3 linked regions of the Lepisosteus oculatus genome follow. The protein of the gene in region 2 interacts with the protein of the main gene of each other region in a biochemical or structural test. Links are inferred from orthologs where the notes say so. Each region holds a gene or a part of one and is shown on either strand. Other genes may lie near its edges. The genes, in order: aurka, usp21 and yod1.

Evidence for each region.
Region 1: the proteins of usp21 (region 2) and aurka form a complex in vitro, tested with the Homo sapiens proteins (2 studies listed by BioGRID, with this or other methods). The link is inferred for Lepisosteus oculatus from reciprocal best matches to the Homo sapiens genes USP21 and AURKA.
Region 3: the proteins of usp21 (region 2) and yod1 form a complex in vitro, tested with the Homo sapiens proteins (2 studies listed by BioGRID, with this or other methods). The link is inferred for Lepisosteus oculatus from reciprocal best matches to the Homo sapiens genes USP21 and YOD1.

Annotation. Positions count from the first base shown.
Region 1 is NC_090711.1:2,943,194-2,951,259, forward strand, and holds the start of aurka (aurora kinase A), read right to left. Parts: upstream 3,042-8,066; 5' UTR 2,829-3,041; intron 2,200-2,828; 5' UTR 2,194-2,199; coding exon 2,143-2,193; intron 1,311-2,142; coding exon 1,037-1,310; intron 638-1,036; coding exon 589-637; intron 348-588; coding exon 156-347; intron 1-155. Other genes in the region: prelid3b (PRELI domain containing protein 3B), read right to left, coding at 7,369-7,488. UniProt on the Homo sapiens protein: Mitotic serine/threonine kinase that contributes to the regulation of cell cycle progression.
Region 2 is NC_090697.1:77,986,022-77,994,048, forward strand, and holds the start of usp21 (ubiquitin carboxyl-terminal hydrolase 21), read right to left. Parts: upstream 3,027-8,027; 5' UTR 2,555-3,026; intron 2,322-2,554; exon of another isoform or gene 2,268-2,321; 5' UTR 2,069-2,267; coding exon 1,937-2,068; intron 924-1,936; coding exon 864-923; intron 616-863; coding exon 498-615; intron 1-497. Other genes in the region: lrrc23 (leucine-rich repeat-containing protein 23), read left to right, coding at 4,810-4,965, 5,812-5,921, 6,226-6,488, 7,172-7,302, 7,610-7,746. UniProt on the Homo sapiens protein: Deubiquitinates histone H2A, a specific tag for epigenetic transcriptional repression, thereby acting as a coactivator.
Region 3 is NC_090700.1:33,690,895-33,698,776, forward strand, and holds the start of yod1 (ubiquitin thioesterase OTU1), read right to left. Parts: upstream 3,093-7,882; 5' UTR 3,029-3,092; intron 910-3,028; coding exon of another isoform or gene 888-909; exon of another isoform or gene 724-887; intron 1-723. UniProt on the Homo sapiens protein: Hydrolase that can remove conjugated ubiquitin from proteins and participates in endoplasmic reticulum-associated degradation (ERAD) for misfolded lumenal proteins.

The sequences.
Region 1 (8,066 bases), on a different chromosome or scaffold from region 2:
TGATTCAGCTTAAGGGGCATCAAGCGACCAAAAACGACGACACTTCCCTGCACTCAACTGCCCTCCACTCTCCACATGGGAATGTTGAGAAGCTCGTGAACAGGGCGTCTCCCCACGGCGGGAGGGGAGGCCCAAGGAGCCTGCAGGAGGTGTACCTGAGGTGCGACTGGATCTCCACCTCCCTGCGCAGCTGGTGCTCCACGCCCGCCTTCTCCAGCTGCTTCTTGAAGAGCACCTTCAGGGCCAGGATGAACATGGACTGCCGCTCCCTCGCCAGGTACACGTTCCCGAACTTGCCCTTTCCCAGCGGCCGGCCGATGTCGAAGTTCTCCAGGCTCCAGCGCTTCCTGAGGAAGAAGGAACGGGATTCAGGAAGTTTTCCCATTAGATAAATATGAGAAGTGGCTTAGAAAAAAAACAATTTCTCCTGATCTAGGTTTAGTGTCCCCCCCTTCACATGCAAGACGAGCAGTAGCACCAGGAGCAAAGTAAAGAAATCGATTCTAATTGCTGGCTTGAGAAAAGGACAATGCATTTTTTTTTAATACGGAAAATGTGACCCCCAAGAGTTCAATTCCTGGTTCTTACTTAGAGTTAGAGTTGACAGAGTTCATAGATCCAGTGGCCACAGCTTTATCTGCACAAGAAAAAGGACAATTACTACAGGGACATTCTTGAACATTAGTGTAAAAGAACATTTGACTTTGTGTGCAGATCCTTCATGTATCCAAGATATTTCCTTTATTGACATGTGCCTGTGCTGATCTAGAGCTCGTTCTCCTGCCTCTCTATGCCCAACGGCCAACAGGTCTTGACTTGAGTCCCCGATGTCTCAGACTGGACACTCCTCGCTCCAGCACATCGAAATAAGTGAACTGCAAGTACCGGGGAGCTCTGAAGACCGCTGCTTATTCTGAAAGTTACCAGTAATGCTCTATTTCAGCTATCCCAGAGCTCATGTTCCGTCAGCCCTCCCTCAGACAGGCCCAAGCCCAGCAGTGTCACACCGCAGACTGGGGAAAGCAGGGCTGCCCACCTGCAGTTTTCTCCTGCGCGGGCGGCTCCACAGGGGCAGGAGCGGAGGAGGAGGAGGTGGTCCGGCCCCGAGCGGGCGGGGGGGTGTTCTCGCGGGAGGCCTGCGAGGCCTCGATGCGCAGGGCCGGAGGCTGGGGCAGCTTCTGCGGCCCGGCGGGGCGCTGGACGCGCTGCGGCCCGTTGGAGACGCCCAGGGCCCGCTGGGAGGACGTGGACACACCCGCCTGCTTGTTCTGGGACACGGGGACCCGTTTAGGGCCGTCGCTGTTGAGCTGCTAACACATGGGGAGAGGAGAGTCAGGGACCACACTTCACACTGCAGGTAGCCTTAATCTACAACACTCCAGAACTCCTGCCCAGTGCAGTTTCAAAACACCAAGCTTTCCTTGGAATGAAAGAAAACAGACATATTATAGAAAGCTTGGAAGAGCTAACTTTAGTGAAACATGGGAAATGAGCCACAGTTTCCTAAGCTTTGGTTCTGTGTCACAGCAGAAACAACTGTCACCTAAGGAGATCAGACTAGAGAGGTAAGGCGTTTGCACACCAGCCGGTTTTCATTCCATCCCACTGTAATTAGATAATCACAGCCCTACCTGATCTAATGCTAATGAGCTGCTTCCGGTGAATATTTGCATTGTGTTTTTAGTTAGGGATTTTCTCTCACCTACAAAGTACAACAGTTAAAGCTCCAGCATGTGTAAGACCCGGGAACAAACAGATCACATTAATCTTATTATTAAGCGAATGAAGGGTTTGATTGTGTGACTAAGGGCTCGGCTGGAACACAAACCTGCAGGTCACCAGGACCAGGAACCACCGGACCAATTGCAAGCACTGATCAGAACTTTTTCCCCCCCTGAGAATCGGTTTTTCATGGTTATACCCAAGACAAAAGATCCCCCGTGTGGGTGGAGGGGATAACTGTGTGCAAGCGGAAATTATCCCTGCATTTGCGCCCTCCCGAGGAGCACACGTGATCTTTGGCCCCTCTGCAGCACGGGCATTCAGAAACTAAACGATCAGGAATTCGGAAGTGGGTACGAGTCTCCCCCTAGCGGCGATCCCGGGAGGCGCACGGCGGCTCTCACACCGGCGACAGCTTACTTTCGCAGTCGCAGGACACTGCGACCTCCTCGCCGTCTTGGCCGCATCCATGGATCACTGGAGAAAGGAGCGATGAAGGAAAGAGAGATGTTCAAACTCTTATACGCGTTCTTAATTAAAACAAGACGAGTTACGCTAATAAAGTCGACTGTCTCCTTTAAAAATACACGACTAAGGGATCTAGAATACAAACCAGCATACCCAATTTATTTTAAAAATAAAACACGATCGCCACCACAACTAAAAATCCCAGGGCGACACACCTGCAGATAATCTTCACGATTTTAATCGACGTCTGAAAGGCGTCCCGCTGCAGATAAGCGAATTCGGCTAGTTCGCTGTTCAAGACGCATCGTTTGGTGTATAAACGCGTCTCCTATGGCGACGTGGAAACCGTACGCATTTTTCTGAACCTTTTTCCCCAAAGCCTGAATGGACACGACACTGCCACCTCCGTTTCACTCACGGTTTTGTTACACATACAGCTGAAAAATATTTGATTAGCAACTACATTTCTCCACAAAAGATACATATCCCACGCCGGACCGGAAACAATAACAAGCACATTATTTACATATACCAAGACTTCTAAGCCACAACTGGTTGACATATGATCATGATAGATGACAGATGATCACGATAAAACGAAAAAAGGCCACGTTAGTATCAGAAGCGCTCTCACGTACCGCTTTTAGCTACTTGTTCAGGCCGAACGACGGATTTTCGTGTCTCCTTTTCCTCGCACACCCGAAACGCGCTTTCTGCCCCGTCTCTGTATTTTAAATCCTTTCAGGTACGTTACCAGGCGAATCCGAGAATTAGAAGAGCTTATTTTCAGCTTTAACCCACAGTTTTTTTGCCGAGCCAGCCCGCAGGCCGCAATGCTCCTATCGCACGTCACTACAATCTGTTTAAATTCAAATCTCCCTCTTTTAACTACCTTTAAACCTTCCCCGCGTCTGATTGGCCGAGATCAAACCACGCCCCTGCTCCCCATTGGCTGGGGCCGCCTTTCCAACCGTACAGAGCCGGTGTAAAAGGTGCTGCGATTTCCCACAGCGCCCCCTGCTTGTCGCCAAAGGACAAGTCTACGGCCGCTGTGCGGCGAGAACCATTTTCTCAAGACCGTGTGATAATACGGCTATTATCGTAATATAAAAATGAATCCTCCATGCTAATAAGTTTTTATCATATTTCTCAAATCTTAGTTAAAAAAATTGAATCCTTTTAAATTAATAATTATTTTAATTTCCTGGTGATTAAGGGCTCAGTAGGGAGAAGTCCTTCAGGACCAGGTTAAAGAATGGCTGAATTCAGAATTTCCCAGCGTGCCTCCACTCCCCCATTACCCGTGCCGTTTCAAGTCGATCTAAGGCTCTCGTTCAGCTGGTTCTTCTTTATGAACCTATTGCCATCTGCTTCTGTAACATGCATTGTTCCAGACTCCTACAACCCTTTGTGGAAAGACATGCACCTTGTATGGAGTACTAAACACAGCTTCCAATTGAGCCCCCTTCGCCGTTACGCAGTTGATCACTGTCAACACCTCAGCCTTTGTGAAGACATGCATCTTGTCCTCTCAGTCTTCACTGAAAGTCTCTGTAGCCAGTGTACTTACACTAGAGAAACACATGTTACCTGCAAGCAGCCTGTGTCACTCCCAAACCACAGGCCTTTTGACCCCCCGGCTACAGATGAGGACTGCGTGAGCTGGAAGACACTGCAAGAGGAGGGCAGCTGCTCTGAGGCCGTCTTAGAGACGGGGTGCTATAGCAGGGACAGTTTTTCCTTGACCCAGAGCAATGATAATATGCCTCTGCAGGAACACACTTCTGTCTGCAGCACCAACCACCTGGCCGTTTCACCTCCTATACTGGTCTTCATCAGAGACACAGACGGCCTGCAGGGTCACTCGGCGTCTTCAGACGAGCTCTGGCAGATATTTGGGAGCCCAGGCTCCATCCCTGAGCCACACGTCTCACAGCAGCAGGAACGCAGGACGGATACCAAAGCCGTCTCGTCTCCAGAGAACATCGGCCTCACCCCCATTTCTCCCAGTCCCAGCAACCAGATCCAACAGCACCAATTTGAGTTCCTCCGGGAGGAATTGGTGTCATAATGAGTGGGAACAAAAATAAGAAACCAAACTCCTGTGACCCTAAAGAACCGGCCTTAGAACTGACCAGTGCAGCTCCTTATCCTTTCCCCACTATCCACTCCCACTTGTGAAGAAAGAAACACCCAGGCTAAATTGTTACAAGTTTATTAAGCATATAGTTGTTACAAGTTCGTTAAGCATGTTGTTGACATCGGTATTGTTCCATCACACACAGCACAGACCCGCACTCACTCCTCACCAAACACCCTTCTCCTGCCTTAACAAAATGCATCCTACCCCCTCACCCCCACCGCACACATTCTAGCTGATAGTTCTTTTAAACCATAGTCTATTGGTATAAAAACATTATAAAGCACCACAAATGCTGTGTACCTATAAAAAAAGTCACAACCCAGGCCCCTCAGTAGTGCCACACATCCAGGAGCTCATAGCGAAGGTTAGATGACTGCCACACAGCACAGCACCCGAGCTCGCCTCCAGGTCCATCATCCTCCTTCACCGGAGCAACAGCTCTCGAAACGGCAACTCGCAAGGCAGGCCGGCGCTGGATCAGGCGAGAACAGCCGCCGTGTCACGACACTCCGGCTCACACAAACTCTTCCAAGGAAATGACTCCCGCGGGCGGAGGGGGACTCCTCTGAAGTCAGAGTTAAAGTTAGTCTCGGGCTTCACACCCGCTAGTACAAAAGTAAAAGACTCCTGCATGTAGAAATTAGTCAGCATTCATGCATTACAGATTCGCAGCAACTCGGCGCTCAGGACAGGATTAATTACACCAGCTTCCCGACATGCATCGCTCTACCAAGCCAGACCGGCAGAGAGGGCGTTTTCGGGACTTTTTCTTTGCAGCCCCGTACAGGATGAAGAAACGGGTGGGAGTCCGTTATCGAGTCTGCACGGGGGAATCGTGGAATTTTGTACAAAAAGAACTAGATCTTTCCAAATAAAGACCTTCGCCTGCAAAAGCCCCCGAGCAGTTTCATGGGTACCCTGGGTGAGGCACGGGGAAAATCCATGCTCCCTTGAATCGGCATCCATGTCGCTGTGCAGGTCGTGGAGGAGAGCACACGTTGGCGTGCTGCGTGACCCTTCGGTCTCCACGCTGCCACAGCACCTGTCCGCAGGCGGCCCCTGCCTGCAGTCTGGATAAGGTGACCGCAGAGCTGGCTGTTGTAAAAACGCCCCGCGGAGGTGGACGGCGAGGGCTGGAGCTCGACGGGCCTGGACTTGGAGAAACCAGGAGATGGCATCACTCTAAAGACTCGGGCTCCCCACCTCTCCACCAGCTTCATCCTGACAACCGCTCCCTACTCCCAACAGCTCTGCGCATTCCTGTAGCGTGACGTCACTCGCTCTTCCGAATAAAACTCACACCACAGGTAGCTGGCAGGTGACAGAAGGACTGCAACAGCTTGACAGCCTTGCAGGTCTCTCAGAAGGTCAGGTGCATGCAATGTGACACAGGCTGGTTATGCTTGTGTTGAAAAAGCATCAAACCTTTCCAGTTATGTTTAGATCTCTGATGCCACTGTGGCTCAGCAGCGCATCTTCCTAGAGGATCAGACATTGTTGAGCTCAGCTTTTAGACAAGGGGCAATGCGAGTCTAGTGGCAAAGCACAGCCTAGGCAGCATGTACACCATGAAGAAGTGAGGTGGGTAGTGTGTTTCCTACAGACAGATGTAGACCAAATGTAATATAATGCCCTCAGGGTCATGGCAGGTCAACGCGGAGAAATCAAAAGGGCTCACAGTGCGGAAATGACTTCAGTTCTGCAATCACTGAATTCTTGTCACTAAGTTCGGTCAAATACATTCCAAAAATGTCCAAACACACTAGGACTTTTTTTGTTACATGACAGGGTAACAAGAAAAGTTATGAACATTCGAAAGATACACAATTCCTTTAAACTCCTACTGTACAGCAAGCAAAAAGTCCCACCCTCCCCCATCTCTGGTTTCTCAGTACCCTCTCTCCACTCGTGGGTTTTCTTTCTTGTGCGTGTAAGACAAAGACGCCCCTTTCCTTTTTCTGACCTACGCACGCTTTTGTGGCACTGCCAAAGCCAGCATTTATCCAGGGCGGCGCCCCCTCTTTCCTGGAGCGCTTCAGCAAGTAAACCTTTTGAAGAAGGATCCCCCACCCCGACCTCCGACCCCTGACCCCCGACCCCGGGCAGCGCAAGCTGAGCTCAGAGACGCCAGCCGTGCACAGCACCACTGCGCGCCCTCCGGCCCTGGTCCGCTCTCTGTTCCCGTGGTCTCCTCCACTGGTACAACAGTTAATACTCCAAAAGAGAAACGTACAGTACTTGACATTCAAGTATTGAGATATTTGCCGGATTGAACCGGCGTGCTAGGGCCCGTTTCAGGCCCTCAGAGGAGGACTCTGGATGAGGAGCAGTCAGCTGCGAGAACGTGGCTCAAATAAATAGAATCTTTACAAGTGCTAAATCGCTACCTCTACAAATAAAATAAATAAATATCCTTCACCCTTGACAGCAGACCTGGTCTGTAGTTTTTGTTTGCATTCCCAATCCCTTCTCTCCTCCCCACCCCTCTAGCCCAGGGCTGAGACGGCATTCGCCACTGCCTCTGACCCAGAACCGCCGGGTCCCAGCAGTCCAAATCCCTCTCTTTCTGGACCCGGACAGCACCACGGACAAGCTGCAGGAGGTCCAGTTCACAAAACCTTCTTGCTGGGGGGTGGCAGGATGGTCACAGCCCAGCTCAGTCTGAACCGGCGCCGTCAGGAAAGTACCTGTGCCCCCCCCCGCTGGGAGCCCAGGTTCCCCACAAACCTTTATAGAGTTTTGACCTAAAGGAACAAAAAAGAATAACGAACGAGCCAGATTTCGCAGGACCGGCACCAAATCCAGAGTCTTAGGCTGCCCGCCCAAGCAATAAATACGTTTCCACAGCCTCCCTTTGTGTCACACCTGGCTGGATCACACTGGATCAAGAGTGCCCTCGAGCGCAGGAGGGACAGAGAGGCGATCGGAGATCCCCGTCGGCGTGAACACACAATAAATTAGTCTGCGGCGACACAGAGGGAGGCCGTGCTGGCGAGAGGAGGATGCGCCCCTTGGTAAGGGCCCGGGCTCAGGGGTCATTTCTCAGTAACGGCGGCAGCAGCCATGGGCGTCCGGATGGTGTTGCGGGCGGTCGCCGCCAGCTCCTCGATCTCGGAGTTCAGCCGCCTGATGACCCACTCCATCGCCTCGCGGCCCTGCAGGAGCACAGACAAGCGCGCCTCAGCGGAGGGGACAGGCGGACAGGCACATGCAATGCTACTCTGCAGGAAAGGAACACGCGGCGAGAACACACACACAGGTACACTCACGAGGGGAAGGCAGCGGGCACTGTATGTGCACACGAAAGTAAGGTTTGACATCGCCTTCTCCCCCTGCCAGATCTCAGCCCAAGGGAGCAGGGAGAACAAGCTCCACACCCGACAAGTCAGCACACAGCACGAAAGATAATCCCAGTCTAAAATTCCTTACTTCTCAGGATCCTGGGGATGGGGCCTGTAAATGAGCCTCTCGTCCAAATCAACCAATGTCTTATGTAACAAGACAGGGACGCACAACACTGAAGATCTAAAGGGTCTCGCACCCTCGTCCACCAACACGCGGGAGCAAACGCCTTGCAGGTCAGGTCTGACACGAAGGAGTTCGCGTTTTTAAAAAGAAGGTACATTTTAAACTAGCTCGGTACCTACTCCGCCCAACTCGTTAGAGCACCGCTCGAAGAAAACTACCTTCCCGAGGCGCGGCAGGTTACATAAAACTCAAAAGAGTGACAAAA
Region 2 (8,027 bases):
AGAGCAGATCAGCAGGATGACAGCAATGGTGACTCTGCTATCCACGCCAGCGTGTGACATCAGACCAGTGGTGATATCCCAAAGTGCATTGCTACAGGCTTTATCGTACATTTCTGTTCCACAGATGCAGCTGCTACTGGTGGCACATTCAAAAGAATTGTTTCTCCAAACATTCAAAAATGAAGTCTGTCATTCCTGAAAGACTAACTCTAGCACTTCATGATATTAAATAGTGATTCAGTATAAAAATACTATGAATTTATGCATAGAACTACATTTTGCAGTGAAATGTTAATATATTATAACCATAATCTGAAAGAGATCCATTTACCTATCTGTTTTCTAACAACTTCACCCATTTCAGACTCACAGGGGGGCAGAAAACGTAAACAATAATCTCTCATGATAATGTAAAAAGCCCTCGTCTAGTGTAGCATCTTGTGAATTTCGCCTGGCTCGAATACTGCTGGTCACAGCAGGGCCAGATGTCAAAGTACCGTTCATGAGCTCTGGGGGCTTGCGGGTGCCCATGTCCTGCAGGTACCGCTGTCTCAGGCAGTGATCCCTGAGGGGCAGCGTGTGGGACAGGCACTGCAGCACGGCGTTCAGGAAGCACTGCAGACACACAGAGAGCTGTGGTGAAGGCCTGACACTTGCGCAAGAGAGACAGAGGGACAGGTGGAATGAAGAACAGAAGGAATGAGGTAAATAAAAGAACAAAGATGGAATCACGCACCTGTGCCTCATAGAGTAACACAAAGTAGCTCTAATTAGACAACCAGGGCCTAAAACAACATTTGGTCTGTTGAGACCTGGTCCCAGGTCAGAAAACCCCAGAAAAACCACCAAGGAGATCTACCTACTGTATTCCCAACATTGTGGATTCCAACACGCCCGCTGCCCAGCGTCAGACTGGCTTCCTGCTGCAGGAAGACAGACAGGAAGATGAATCACAGTTACCACCTCCACACCCACTGCCCCTCATCACACCTCCCACTGCCACACCCACTGCCCCTCATCACAGTGTAATAGATGAGTATCTGAGCTGGTTGTGGGTTTGGGTCCCCACTGCAGACACTGCTGTTATGCCATGAGAGAGGTACATTACCCCAGTTGCTCCAGTCTGCCAGGCTGTATGGGTTTCTCCTGCAGTGGGCCAGTGTCCTGTTCTGGGCAGGATTCATGTGTTTCCTGGTCTGTGTTTAACACCACGGGAAGCGGGATGAGCCGATGCAGCTCGGATACAGAAACGACCTCAGTCATTCTGAGCTTAACTGGATCAAAACCCAGTGGCCCCTGTGAGAGCCTGAAAGCTGGGATGCAGATTCCTGCTGCAGGCTGATGTGGAGGTACAGATCAGAGACTCTTCCTTAGCCACAGTCTTTTTTTTTAGAGCCCTGATCTCATTACCGCGCAATAGATCTCAAACTAGAGGTCATGGAGACTCATCCCATTAGCTCCTCAAGGGGAGGGACGTGCATGTGTGTGTCAGAGCGTGCTCGGGCACGTGCACCAGGAAGGACGCTCCAGGGACAGCAGGGCTCGTGCAGTGTGTCAGGTGCCAGCTCCCAGGGATGAGTAGTACCGCTGTTCCCACTGGGCTCTGACTGACTGCTGGTGAAGCGCTTGAGAGCAACCACCACCGATTCAACAGGGAGCCCAGATCAGACCATGACTGACTATACTAGTTGACCACTAGAGCTGGCCAGAACACTGACTGAGCACCGGAGCTGACCACACTGATTGACTTCTGGAGATAACATCATAACACATCACTTTATTAGCCCTATACAATTTCTTGCATTAGGAATTCGTCTTTTCACATATCCCAGCTTGCTCTCCATGAGACACATAGACACACAGGCAGGGAGAGAAGCCTGGGAGATGACCACTTGACTGAACACCGGATCTGACAGTTACAAGGGCTGCTTCTTACCTCGTTATCAGCCACCAGGAGCAGCCCCATGAGAGAGCTGTAGAGAACGGACTGGGAGATGTCCGGCCCCTCCTGCTGCACGGCGCTCTGAGTGGCCAGCGAGCGGCACAGCGCCTGGCACGAGTCCTCCATGACAGCCGCGGCTCTTCGGGCGACTCGGGCGCAGGGGTCCCGTCCGACTGGGGTCCACGACCGGTTTCCACAGACCGAGTCGCTCCGGTCGAGCTCACTTCCAGGCGAAGCGCTCTGTCCGCGACTGAACCTCCCGCAGCCGCTCAGGAGAGGAGATCCGGCGCGTCACTCTCACCGCCGCGGCGGTCTCCTGGACAGTCTGCAGACCCAGCCGGGGCGCCGGTCACTCCGTCGCAAAAGCTTTGCGTTTCTTCTGTTTGTTATGTTATAGGCTGTTTTAAAAACGCTTTTCAAAATAGCTGGCTTGATTTATGTGAGTCGTAGGAGTGTTTGCTTCTTATTGCATTTAATGATTTAGTAAAATAATAACTATAGAGTCGTTTTTGACTGAAATAACAAATAAAATATTAAAGACTGCAGTAAGAAATAAAGTATCAGTATTTTTTTTAATTGAAATATTGCGACAAAGAATTAGGCTCTACTAACCTTATCCGGAGATAGCAGAGATACGAAAATCTGAAGACGAATCCCGTTGGCAAGAGCTCTCTTGGTGTAAATTGGGAATGTCACTACATCTGCAGTTCGTTCTACACGGGATAACACTTGTGCTGTCATCTCTTGTCTTTCACTTGTGTGAATTTAGACGATTAATGTTAATCCCCTTTAATCTCTTCCAGCTCTCTCTCTCCTTTCTCTATATTTAGACACTCTCGCCCACAGTTAGCCCTTGCCGAATAGAGTAGGCATCCTGTATATATTACTGTAATATATATTTTATTACATCACTGGTTAGTTACTTTCCAAAATGCAGAGGGTTTAAAGCTTTTTAGCCGGGGTTTTAACGATTTACCGAAAAACACATCATATACTGTATATCTCTCCCGCCACCCAGAATAAAATCAGTGTAACTAAACTGCGTGGTTTGTTGAGTGAAGAGCAGCGCTCAGGTAATCGCGCTCAGGTGAGTCCCGGCTGGCTCACTCTCACTCATAAGCCCCACCCCTCCGCGTCTCCTCCCACATCATTGGGCAGCAGGCACGCCAAGCCACGCCTCCTCGCCGGTGCGGTCTCCTTGACAACAGCTGTCAACTGTGTTACCCAGCAGCAGGACGGTAGGGAAATCTTTCTTTTTCCTTACAATGTGTCAATACGACAGTAAATAAGTGAGAAAATAATCTCAGCGGTTTCCCTTGAGCTCGGATGAATTCAGAGGTGGTGTCCGGGCAGAGCGTGTTGCAAACGTAAAAACTCGCACTGATTATTTCTCCAAGTAGTTGCGTTTCGTTTCGACAGTAACGCGTTAGTTGCTGCCGGAGTGGATTCGAGCCGGGTCGACTCTGGGCACTGGGCCGGGCTGAGCCGCCGGTACCCGCTCCCCTAGTGTTCTGTCTTGGGCTGAGGAGGACCGGTCTCCCTCAGGACCTGCGAGAGCCAGGGACAAGAGCCGAGTGGGATCAGGAAAAACACATTGTGATTATTTCATGAGGAATCTTCATGACACCCAGGAATCAGTCTGGTTTGCGGATGTTTATGGAGTAATTGTGGATTGAACCCGCTTGGCTGTGGGCTATCCCGCAGGCAGAGAGAGGAGTGCCCCAGCGCAGCACTGTGGAGGAGAGTGTGTGTGTGTGTGATATGTACTGTTTATACAGTATTTGAGAAGTGCCGGTGGGAATGATTATGATTTAGAACAGCTGGGACGAACGAGGCTTGGTTGTGGTCTTCTCTTCTGAGCTTCACTTTATTTTCTTTCCTGGGAATCTCACTGTGCCTACAGTATGTGAGCTGTACAGCAGCACTGCTGAGCGCGCAACAAGCTCGCACAACAACAATGTAAGACGCCTGATTCTCAGTGTGCAATCGACTAAGACACAAGTGCTTCGTGGGTTAAAGGCTTTGTGTGGAGCGAGGAAGTGGCGTCTTCGACCTGAAGGGTTTCCAGTGAGGAGCAGTGTCGGCCGGAGCTGCAGACGAACAAAACGAAGTTCATTTGACTCTGAAAAGCAGAAAGAAAAAAACACTAATTTCAGTTGTCGAATCGTCTTTGGTTTCTCTATCTGTAGTCTGTGAAGCCGGCTTCTTACAATGTTACTGTGTGTCCATACAGCAGATCTGTCTTTATGTTTTGAAAGAAGAAAATAAAAAAACAACACACAAGTAGCTTTATATAAGGAGCTGAGACACAAATAAAGAAAATGAATGAAGTAAGACTAAAAAAGCTGTTACCTGAAACCCTCTAACAGGCCCTTGTTGAGGAATGCTGAGCCCACACCATTCAGTCTGCCCGATGACCACTCAAATGCAACTGGGCTTAATCAGTGAACAAAGCAAGGTGGCCGTAGGGCTAAATCTAGAGTTTAATTATATTTTTTGTGGCTTTTAAACTAATCAATAACAGTTTATTGTATTGCCTCACACCTGAAGAAGGCTCCAAGGCCGAAACGTTGTGTTTTCTTTCTTCTCTTTTCAGAATGGAATAAACCTGTTACTTGTTCCTCTGAAAATCTTTATTATGATGGTAAATTTACCTGTGATTGAAATACGAATTTAATGTCCATCAACAAATGCAGAAATGCAAACAGATTAGCTGTCTGATAAGCTAGTGTACAGTGTATAGCTGCACTGTCCTGGTTTCTTGTTAGAAAGAAAGAGCTGGGAACAGCACAGTCACATGTGTTCCATGAACGCTATCTGTTTTTAAGGTCCTTGTGCAGCTGAGGTGGACACAGAGACAGGAAGTGATGTCGGACCGAGAGGAAGAAGGGGTGGAGGACAAAGTGGAGGTGGCGGAGCCTGGGAACACAGCTTCCATCTTGGACTCGGAGGGAGAGGAGGGTGGCAGAGAGGAAGGGGAAGGACAGGGAGAGGAAGAGGCATTGCTTGAGAAGGAAGAAAAGGTGAAGCTATTGATTTGTCTGAATCTGAATGCTGCATTCCTGCACAGCTAGCCACTGTCATCAATCCCTTGTGTTCCAGACAACAGCCCAGGCCTACAGCCTACCTTTGAGCCAGTGTTGGCTCTGCTGTTTATAGTCACCAGTGAGACCAGCAGACAGCACGTCTGCTGCTGTTTCCCAGCAGGAGCTGAGTTAACTGGTGGATGTTAATCTGCCGGCCTGTGTTTCTGCTGTATTTCCTCTCTTGCAACTGATACCAGATTCTTTGTCCAGAGAGTCAGCAAACTGAGCTGGAGCCATTTTATGTCTTCTAAACTTCTAAATCGTAGCTGTTGTCACAAGGCAAATGTTGGGTAGAAGTTTTGATAGCAACAGCTGAGGCATAGCTGAGTGGAAATAACATACTGGTGCAGTGTTGGAGCAGTTTGAATTTACTGAATCAATTAGAAACAGGGACAGGAACCTCAGGCTACAAGGAATCAATTTCAACATTTACACCCAGATTCAAGAGTACAAGAGCAAAGAGCAAGTACAAGGGTAAAAAATACATGAATCTGTCTGCTGTGATACAAATGGCTGATCAGTTCAAGAAATGTCTGAATGCGATCCTTGGATCAATAAGTTACTAACTACAGAACTGGCCAGATGAGCCGAATAGCCTCCTCTTATTTGTGACCTTTCTTATGTTCTGACTTCATCATAACATTGTTTCTGAACACATAATTCTAAGCATAGTAATCATCGGCTTGCTGTGACACTGGTATAGCATGCGTGCAGCTGTCTTTTATCTGCAGAGCCTCTCCACACCTGCCTGAGCTGTAACAGAGCTGGTTCTCTCTCCCTCAGCTGGAAAGCTGCCCTCTGACATCAGAAATGATCTCCGAAGGCCTGTCCCTGCTGTGTCGCACTGGCAACGGACTGGCACACGCCTTCGTCCGGCTGGAACTCAAGGAACGGTGAGCATTCAGCAGCCTTTGACCACTCAAGCTTCTGGATCCCTTTGTACCACAGGCCCCAAAGCTCATTTTTTGTGGCTGATTGCGCACATGTGCAACAAACACGTCACCGTTTCTTCAAAACAACTCTCCAAGACCCAATACATGTGGAAAAGTCATATCAGGAACCCAACTATATATCCTCAGAGACAGATCTCAGCACCCTGAGTGATGGGAAATGTAGTGTGTGAAGTGAAAGTTGACAGCAACAGTTATAACCATTAAGGATTTGGTGTTGACCTCTGTATTTCTCTCATCTGTCCAGGGGCTTAACAGACCTCAACATATTGTCCAGCTTTGTCCACCTGCGTTTCCTGGACATCTCCTCCAATTACCTGTCTGACCTCTCCCCTCTGGCCTCCCTCTCTCATCTGCTGTGGCTCAAAGCAGATGGAAACCTGCTAGATGGGTTCAAAGGTCAGCCCCTGGGCCAGCTGGAGTACCTGCAGTGGCTGAACTTAGCGTCCAATCGGATCAAAAACACGGAGGGGCTGGGAGGGCCCTCCTTGGAGACCCTCAACCTGACTGGTCAGTCTGACTGCTGTTTGCCACTGCACTTCTGAAACAGTGATTGCTGCTGACTCACAGTTTCATAGGCAGACGGAGCACCTTCACAAAGGGTCATCTCACACAAGAACTACAGCAAAAAAAAAACTACACACTATTGACACCAACCTCTGTTCTAGACATACTGACATTTTTATGAACTCTAGGATCATGTCCTGAAAAACATTGCATTTTCTTATTATTGAACTTTGGACATTATTGTGCTTTCCCAAAGTATGTATAGATAATATATATTAAACAAAACAAACAAATATATATATATTAAACCAACTCCCACGCATGGCTCTTTGCAACAGGCTGAGGGATCTTTGACAGGTGCAGCAGGCTGTGTCATTCTTCACTGCCTGTCTTCAGAGCACAGGAAGAGTGGTGGGAGTTATGACCCTTAGATTTTAGTGTGCAGGTCTGCTTCTCCAGAATGCTAATTGGTGCATCTGTATCACTTCCATTGTGTTTCTGGAGTCTCTTATTGGTGTCATTGTCTACAATATGCATTTTGTGTAATTCTCAAATGTTGTTTTTGATCATATACTTATATTGGTATATAACAATAATATTCCAGAAAAAAAAGGGAAAACAAAGAATGAGTGCCTACTTGCCTAGTGCAATGGCTGACTGTCTCCATTCATTTATTCCATTCCCAGGCAATGGGATTCAGTCAATATCCGGCCTGGACTATGGGCGCCTGGCGAACCTGGTAACCCTGGAGCTCAGAGGGAATCGCCTGGAAACCACAGACGGGATCTACCTGCCCAACCTGCGCAGACTGTACCTGGTGTGACTGCGGGTTGTTCTGCTGAGAATTGTGTGAAGTGCAGCTGTGTCTCATCGCAGCAGAGCACAGACACCACCTAGTGACAGGCCATAGGTGGCAGCTCTAGCAACATGCTTTCACATTTCCTGATTACATGCAAGACATCATAATTCACACGCAATACATCACTTTATTATCACAACGTTATTCCATAACACTCAATAAAATGCCTTCAGAATCTTCATCATGTACCTCAGTGCTAAAATGCACTATGAAGAAGAGCAGCAGTGACAGCACAGTCTGTATTGACTTCTGCTTCCCTTCCCAGGCCCAGAACCTGATCAAGCGTCTTGAAGGGCTGGAGAGGCTGGAGAAACTCACCACTCTGCACCTGAGAGATAATCGCATTGAGTCCCTGGAGGGCTTCAGCGAGGGAATGAAGTCCCTGCAGTATCTCAATATGAGGTGGGGCCTTATCTCCAGCTCACTGGACCTCAGTGATGAGTATACCTGAATGCTGCTCGGGATCTCCTTGGAGTGCTTGCAAGACAGATTGTTTGATGGAAAAAAAAACAACCTTTTTTATCAAAAGTTTGGAACTCAAAGTCAAATTAATCATATTCCTGTTTTATTAGTCCCACAAAATACTTTTAAATAAATCAATTCCAACTGCTAGAGCTGAAAGCTTATATATATTCACGTTCATCAATGCTGGTGTGGAAGGCGGCGGACTGCATTGAAGTGTC
Region 3 (7,882 bases), on a different chromosome or scaffold from region 2:
AAACTCAGCAATTGTTTATTCAGTTTACTTTCATTTTATAAGAAAGAAAATTTGATCTTAGATAGTTATATGATTAGGGGAAAAAACTCCCCTTTTCTGTAACCGTTACAGTTTGTATTTTTGTTAGACTGGATAATTCACGATTGCAAACTACAAGGCTGTATAATCACCCTTTTGTTTGCCTTTTTAATTTTTAAAAACGGGGTATGGATAATCATTAGGCTGCTTCTGTGATTAGTCTTTGTCTTCGTCTCTAAAAGCTTGCAAGTGTCTGTCATAAAACATCTTTTTATGTAAAGTCTTCTGTTCAGGTTCTCGTTCATTTCTGTTGCATCTCTAATGTCTAATAATAAATGTACCATTTATTATTTTACTTATTTTAACTACACAAATAATAGTGTTTAATCGCACATCGTGTTGCAGAATAAATAGAAACGGACTCAAAATTATTTTTTATCGTACTTCAGTAGTTATAAAAAATCTTCCCAAATACATTTCAACGCAAAAACGGTCGATTTAAACCCCTGTTGTGAAGAACAGCTGAAGGTGAGGATTTTTAAGAGGAAATCGGAGTTGGATGCTCGTTTTCAGTGAGTCGTTTCTTTTGGGGATATGGATTTTGGACGCATTTCAGAAAAGAAAAGCTTAGTCCACTTCTGTCAGCTCTGTTTAGCCTAAACGTAAACGGCGTCAAATAATGGACACATTAATCTTAACCGCAACGATTGACCTATCCTTCATTCACTTTATTGTATCACTGTAATATTTGCTCATACGGAGAAATTAGTTTAACTGTGCTAATTACCCAGATCACCAGCTAAATAGGCGTCATTTCTGACGTTTGGGAAGTAAATGTGAGTGGATTTGTCGAGCCTTGGTGCTACAGGATGTCAGTTCCTTCCAGGAAAGGTGAGGTGGCAATTGTTTTTTTTAAATGTGTGGACGTTATTCACAGCGTTAATGCTCTCTTTCACCCACCAGTGAACGAAAACGCCGGCCTTTAAAAATGAAGGAATCGGATTTTGAGTTACAGTCTGCATTGCTTGCAATCGGACTTTGCGATTGAGGCTGCAGCCTCACGTTCATGCAAGGCGTATTCACAAAGTGAAACCATGCGCTGCACTGTAACTGGTATTCAGTGTGTAAGGGCGGTGTCGGGTACACACCACTGCTGAAATAGTGAGGTTCATTCTGAAGATCAAAGCAAGCTTGCAATGTTGCATTAAGTGTAAATTAAACATAACGACCTTCTTTGTGGTTGCACGAACTGGTGTTTGTCCTTATTTCGTTATTAAGTATTAACCTACAGTACCTGTTACTACAAACTACAGTTCAATGGCATTTTACCCTAAGTGAAATAAGATCGTTGTCGATCGTTGCTTTTACATCAGTTGGAAAAGAGGTGGTCAGGACTGGGTAGCAGAGCTAGGGTCAGCATTGAGGTCAGAAAATGGTCTGATGTGTCATCAGAGCTGACCGATATCACTGTACACTCATGAGTTTATTGTTGGATGTAGGATTAGGTTTGGTTAGAGTGTACATTTAAGTTTGGGGTCAGGTGCTATATAGTATTGTAACGCTTACGGCCGACAGGCGCTGTGTAAGAGCCGGCGTACCAGAGCGGGTGACGTCACCGCCCTTCCCTGTGATAGCAGGACCACAGCTACTGGGCTGTGGAGAGATCTCTCTTTGGCTCACGGGGCTAGGTCGCTGCAGAGAGACGCGGAAGTCCCGGGTTCGAGCCCCGGACGGTGCAGGGGCCGACCTAATGCGGCAAGGGCGCCCGCCGGAGCCCCGTTGCGTTACAGTATGATAAGGTTAGCATTTGCACTATAGGCCTGGGATTGAGGATTGGGCTGGAGGTCATATATAACATTTAGGGCAAGGTTTTAGAATGAAACTATTGCCTTTTTTGCTTAAGCCATTATATCAGTTTATTAATATTAGGTAAGATTGTCTAAGCTTTTGGTCAATATTGTATTTAATATGCCAGTCCAGTGGTGTCTTTTTGTAAATAAAACTGGTCTTTCCAAATATTTTTTCCCTCAGATTTGTTTAACGGGGGTGTCACATGCTGAAAAATACCTTTTTGAAAAATCTGAATGGTCAATTTGTATAAACTTATCAGTTTGCAGCTCAGCCACAGTCATTCGCTGCTCAAGAAATCTGCATTCTCAATCTGCAAACAGATGGGCTGAATAACATCAACAGTACCTCTCCCTATCCCGTTCCTCTGCATGTACTGCAAGAGGACAGTTGGCAGGCTCTATGGGCTGATTCAAGCGCATCCTGCTTTTGTGGTCTCTAGAAAGTTCTCCTGCTGTTTGCCACCAATTGGAGTTTCACACTCCAAAGAGCTCTGCAGGACCCAGATTTAAATCTGTTCCGCCTATAGACAACACTCTGGAAGCATTCCAGTTTCTCTTAATAATAATAATAACTGCTTATACTTATATAGCGCTTTTCTGGACATTCCACTCAAAGCACTTTACAGGTAATGGGGACTCCCGTCCACCACCACCAATGTGCAGCATCCACCTGGATGATGGGACGGCAGCCATAGTGCGCCAGAACGCTCACCACACATCAGCTATCAGTGGTATCAGTAATGAAGCCAATTCATAGATTGGGATTATTAGGAGGCCATTATTGGTAAGGACACCAGGGTAACACCCCTACTCTTTTCAAGAAACACCCTGGGATTTTTAATGACAGGGAGTCAGGACCTCGGTGTTACGTCTCATCTGAAGGACGGCGCCTGTTTACACTATAGTGTCCCCGTCACTATGCTGGGCATTAGGACCCACATGGACCACAGGGTGAGCACCCCCTGCTGGTCCTACTAACACCTCTTCCAGCAGCAACCTTACTTTTTCCCAGGAGGTCTCTCATCCAGGTACTGACCAGGCTCACACCTGCTTAGCTTCAGTGGCTTGCCAGTTGTGAGTTGCAGAGTGATATGGCTGCTGGCTCTTATATTGCTGTTCAGGTTAAGATGTCTAGAACTACCAAACAAATGAATACTCACCCTGTGGCAGAAATGCTTGAAAGGTTTCCAGCCAAAGTCAATCATATTCAGTATCATCATATCAATCAGTTTGATGCAACACCCTCTCAACCCTCTTACATCCTCATTGGAAGGCAGTTCTGCTGCCTTCCAGCAGGAGGCTGGACTCACTTCAGAGCCTTTTCCTATTGCTTTAAAGGGGCAGAACACATTAATAATAATAATAATAATTGCTTACACTTATATAGTGCTTTTCTGGACACTCCACTCTCCTGTTTACAGTATAGTGTCCCCGTCATAATGTCCTCAAAGTGTCCGTCCAAAGCATTATTCTTTATAATGAACCCTCAAAGTGTCACGACTATAGTCCCCCCTCCTTAAGGGTGCTCCAGCCCTTTCACTAAAGACTTCATTCTCTGCACCTGTTTCCCATTCCCTGCCCACCTTAAAAGCCAGGCGCTGACGCTCTTCCGGCCTCTGCATCTGATTTCCATATCGTGCGAGTCCGGGACCAGGAAGCGCCTGGTTCCGTTAAGGTTTTAACCTCGGTTCCCGTTCCTGTTCCCCGTCCGCCGGTTCCGACCCGGCCTTCGTGGTTTTTAATTCTTGTTCTGATGGATCTCCTGGTTTTGGACTTACTCGTGTGTTTTGGATTTTCCCTAAGGACTACTCCAGGATTGTTCGCCTCGGCCACACCTCCCCCGTGCACCAGCGCACCTTGGACACGCCCCCCTGTCTTCAACCCCGTTTTCCTGCATGACGTTTCCCCAATGTTTCCCCACTCCGTCGGACTGTGTCGTCCGCATAGGGTCCGGAAAGAACTGTTCGTTACACAAAGTAGTTATTTTTTCACGGCATTGTGCTAAATACTTTTTATTTTGGCAATTTGGACATCTTTTGCTCAGGAGCAGAATTTGTTGAAGACTATTTTGTAGTACTTCCTGAGTTGTATTCCTTTGAATAATGCTTTTTATGAGTTGAAGGGACATGCTGCTTGTGGGGGGAGGCACATAATTCACATATATGCAGTAAGCGATTTCCATTACAAAGGTACACATTCATTTCTGCTTTCTTCTGCCACTTAGTGTTTAACAGATATATGTTCAAGTTGTGCTGAAGTGGCACATCTAGGGGTTTCTTCTTGACAGTTAAGCAAATGCATCAGGTTTACATCAATAATTTTAACTCATGTCCTTCACCTAAATAGTGACTTGCTGGGAACTCAATACATTGCAGTTGTTTTGCTTTTTATTGGTTATATTTATTTACCCCCAAATGGTTGCAGACAGGACAGTAGAGTTTAACATACTTCTGCAAAACTAGAATTTTATTAGTTGTAGTTTTGTCAAACAACTTGCCTGCCAGCTTAAAAAATGAATTAATATCACCACTAAAGCAAGAGAGGGGGGAAAGAAATTAGGTTGTTAAATGGGTAAGAAAAAAGTAACATTGCACCTTTGATGTGTAATTTAGGGTGAATCTTCTTCAAGTATTCTTATGAATGTATTTCACACTTGGAAAAATATCAAAAAAGTATTGCAATACTGAGAACTCTTTTGCGTTATGTGAAGTACAACATTTGCTCTAGGTACCTCAGTGATATTCCGAGGAAATATTATGCGCTGTCTAGAAAGACGTTTTTTTCAGCTGTCAGTACCTGTAAGTAGGAAATTTCATAATTCTTAAAATAAGAAAAAGAGACAAAATAGTGCCTTTGAAATGACGGATTTTATGTAGCATTTCACTAAATGTGAAGCTGACTGTGCTTGGTGATGGTGAACCAGTTAGTGGCGCTCTGGACTCTTGAACCAGAATTTCTGAACTAGGACTCTAATAATAGTGACCAAGTGATACAGGGCTGTAGACGGAGCCATCCTTTACGTGAGATGATGGACTTAGATCCTGAATTATTTGTTTAATGAAGATGCAATGGAACTGTTCACGAGAGCACCCCTCCCTAAATTGCCCCCCTTAATTCACTTTAATTTCTGTGTCAAGTGGAATCTGCACATTACCCAGCTGGGATCTGTGGAGCACTAGTGGATGGAGTTGGTCCCATCTTATAATACTTTGGGATCCTTCAAGATGAGAAGTGCTATAAATAATATTTATATGCATACAAAGAATTTCTTGTTGAATAAGGTAGTGAATAATAACTGTCTGGTTGCATTAAGATGTGAGTGTGTGACACTTCAGACTGCCGTCTTAATTGTGTTAATAGCGTACAAAGGGCATAAAAGCCAGTTGTTTGTATTAGACTGTCAGAAGCATTAGCACACTGAGATATTGCTGCAACAACATTATTTCGCCCCATTTATTGTGTTATTGAGTTTCTCACTCTGATTGAAAGCTCTTTTCTTCATCAGTTCATGAAAAACATGGCTTTCCCGTCTCTAATGATTTCGTGGTCACAAAGTGTTGCAAAATACAGTCGATACACTGTTAACACTACCCTATAATGTCCAGCAGATGTCACTAGAGACCCAGCCTTGTACGCTTTGCAGACACAGGGCTAATAGTGTTTTTGCAGTTCATTTATGCCACCACATCAATACTTAAAAGTCTTCACAATAAATCAATTCAATAAGACATCAGATTATGAATCAGATTTTAACGCACATTAATTCAACGTGTCCTATTATTTTAGCAAGTAAGAGTTTCGGTTAACTGCGATTCTAGCGCCTGTGCTGAGTGAAGTTGTAAAGACGGTCAACTCTCCTGGTTTTATTGTCTAGCTAAGCACAAGTATTATTTGGTCGTAGTAAAGTTATCTTTGCATTGCGATATATTCTAATGTTTTATCGGAAAATATTAGATAAAAGCAGCACAGTTAAGTCTTCAGTACCAAAGAGGATTTTCCAGTCGATCCGTGAGTCAGGACATGGCACAGGGTTTAAAGAAGAAATTACGAGATGGAGGGATTCCCTGTTGTATGCTCTTTGGGTGCAGCGCTTTCTGTTTGTATTTGGATCTGTTCTTTGAAACTGCACTGGGGACATACTGTATACAGTGGACGCGGAATCTTTCATCAAGGAAAACAGATGAAGATGCACCGTCTATTTATAGCTGCGAGCACAACCAAATTGGGGGAAATGCGCTTTCAGCATTTTTTATTATTCCAGTTTTAGTAGTCTCAAACGTGCCAAGAGAAATGTTATCGAATACTGTAGTAAGCGGCCGGTTGGGTTGCATCATACTGGCTTTTAAAGGAGCCGCAGTTAGCGAAGATCTTATTGAGACCCAGTCGGCTGGGGAGAGCATCCGATTGGTTCTCACAGTGCAAATCTGGGAGAAATCCAGTTAGCAGCCTGGTTCTCTTTAAAAGCATCAGTTGAGAAAGTAGTGTAAGCCTCCACAGGGCAACATGGCTGTTAGTTTCTCATGGGTGCATTACCCCATATCGTGGGTAAGGAATTGCTGATGTGTTGCTTAACCTTTCTTAATCTTTTGATGCCGTAATAACACGCTAAAATGCAATAGGAACGATAATATTAAAAACAAAGCATCTTTGTTATTATCTGTCCGTACCGTACTGCCTAAAATAATAGTTTAAAACAATTTAAACAACTTACTTTTTGGTGTTCCCCGCGCATTCACAAAACAATTACCATACTTTCAAGTTATTGAGAACTAGAATTTCCAATATAGAAACCATTCGACTGGTACGCCCATTGACTAAATGTAATTTTTAAAATGTATAATGCAAAAGCAACATACTTGTAATGATACACTGTAACATCACAACAATACACAAGACAGTATTAAAGTGGATTGGGTTACGTATGATTCCGTTAAATAAAATATGCAAGTACAGAACGAGCGTCATTTCAAATACAGCTCATGCAAGATTTCTTAGCCAAGCTTACGTAATGCGCAGTATTTGGAGTCCTAGTACTCTGAGAGTTACGGTAGACAGATTGTGACGTAGGGACACACCTTCATTCATGTACCCGGTGTACATTAGGAAGGTCGTCTGCGGCACTGGCGAAGAATTTGCTTACCTGCTGTAGTAGCCGCATTGCCCGTTCTTTATACCCGGATCTTTCCTCTTGTCCGCTGCCTCACACAGAAGCACCGACAGCAGACTGTACGTCAAAAGTGGAGGTTTGCCTCTGTCTTTCTCACAGGGGGGAGAAGATCCGTAAAAGAACATAACCTCCTGCAAGCGAAATAATTGCGTACCAGGTATCCGTTTACATCAGTCTGTTTTGGGGGGTTACTGAATGGAGGGCAATTATTATCAACATTCCTGTTAATATTCAAAGGAATGATATAAATTTGATTTGTAGGCAGATTAGATTTGTAGGCAGTGTATTTAAGTGTTTTGTGTTTCAATATGTAATTGTCAGTATGACATTTGTGCTAAAGCCCGATAGTTATTCATCACCTGATTAATAGGAAATTGTTTATTGCTGTTGCTATGACTGCACTGACTGCAGACGGCTAGATGTAACAGGACCCTTCTCTTTGACGGATTGCTGCCTGAAAGTCTATCAATTTTAAGTGTGGAGTGGAGACTTATTTGGTATGTCCATGAGATGGTCAGAGTACTCATTGTAATACAAAAAGATCATGACAGTCAAGTCACGTTTTTTTTTCTCTCAGTGTCAAAGCTGTTTTTGGAACTGTTTGCAGTGTTTTGCTTTCACAAAAAAAAGAAATTGTTTTAATTATACTGCACTGTAAACCCCCTGTAATGAATATTAATGTCCATCACATTTTATTTGGCTGTGATTTAAACTTTTCATATTATGGTTAGGATCTATTGATGCATTAACAGTTTTTTTTCCTCATCTTCCTTTTAACCACATTATACAGTTTAAGACAAAGACCTAAAACTGAAAGTCCAGGGGCCTTGTTGTATATTAGTTTTCT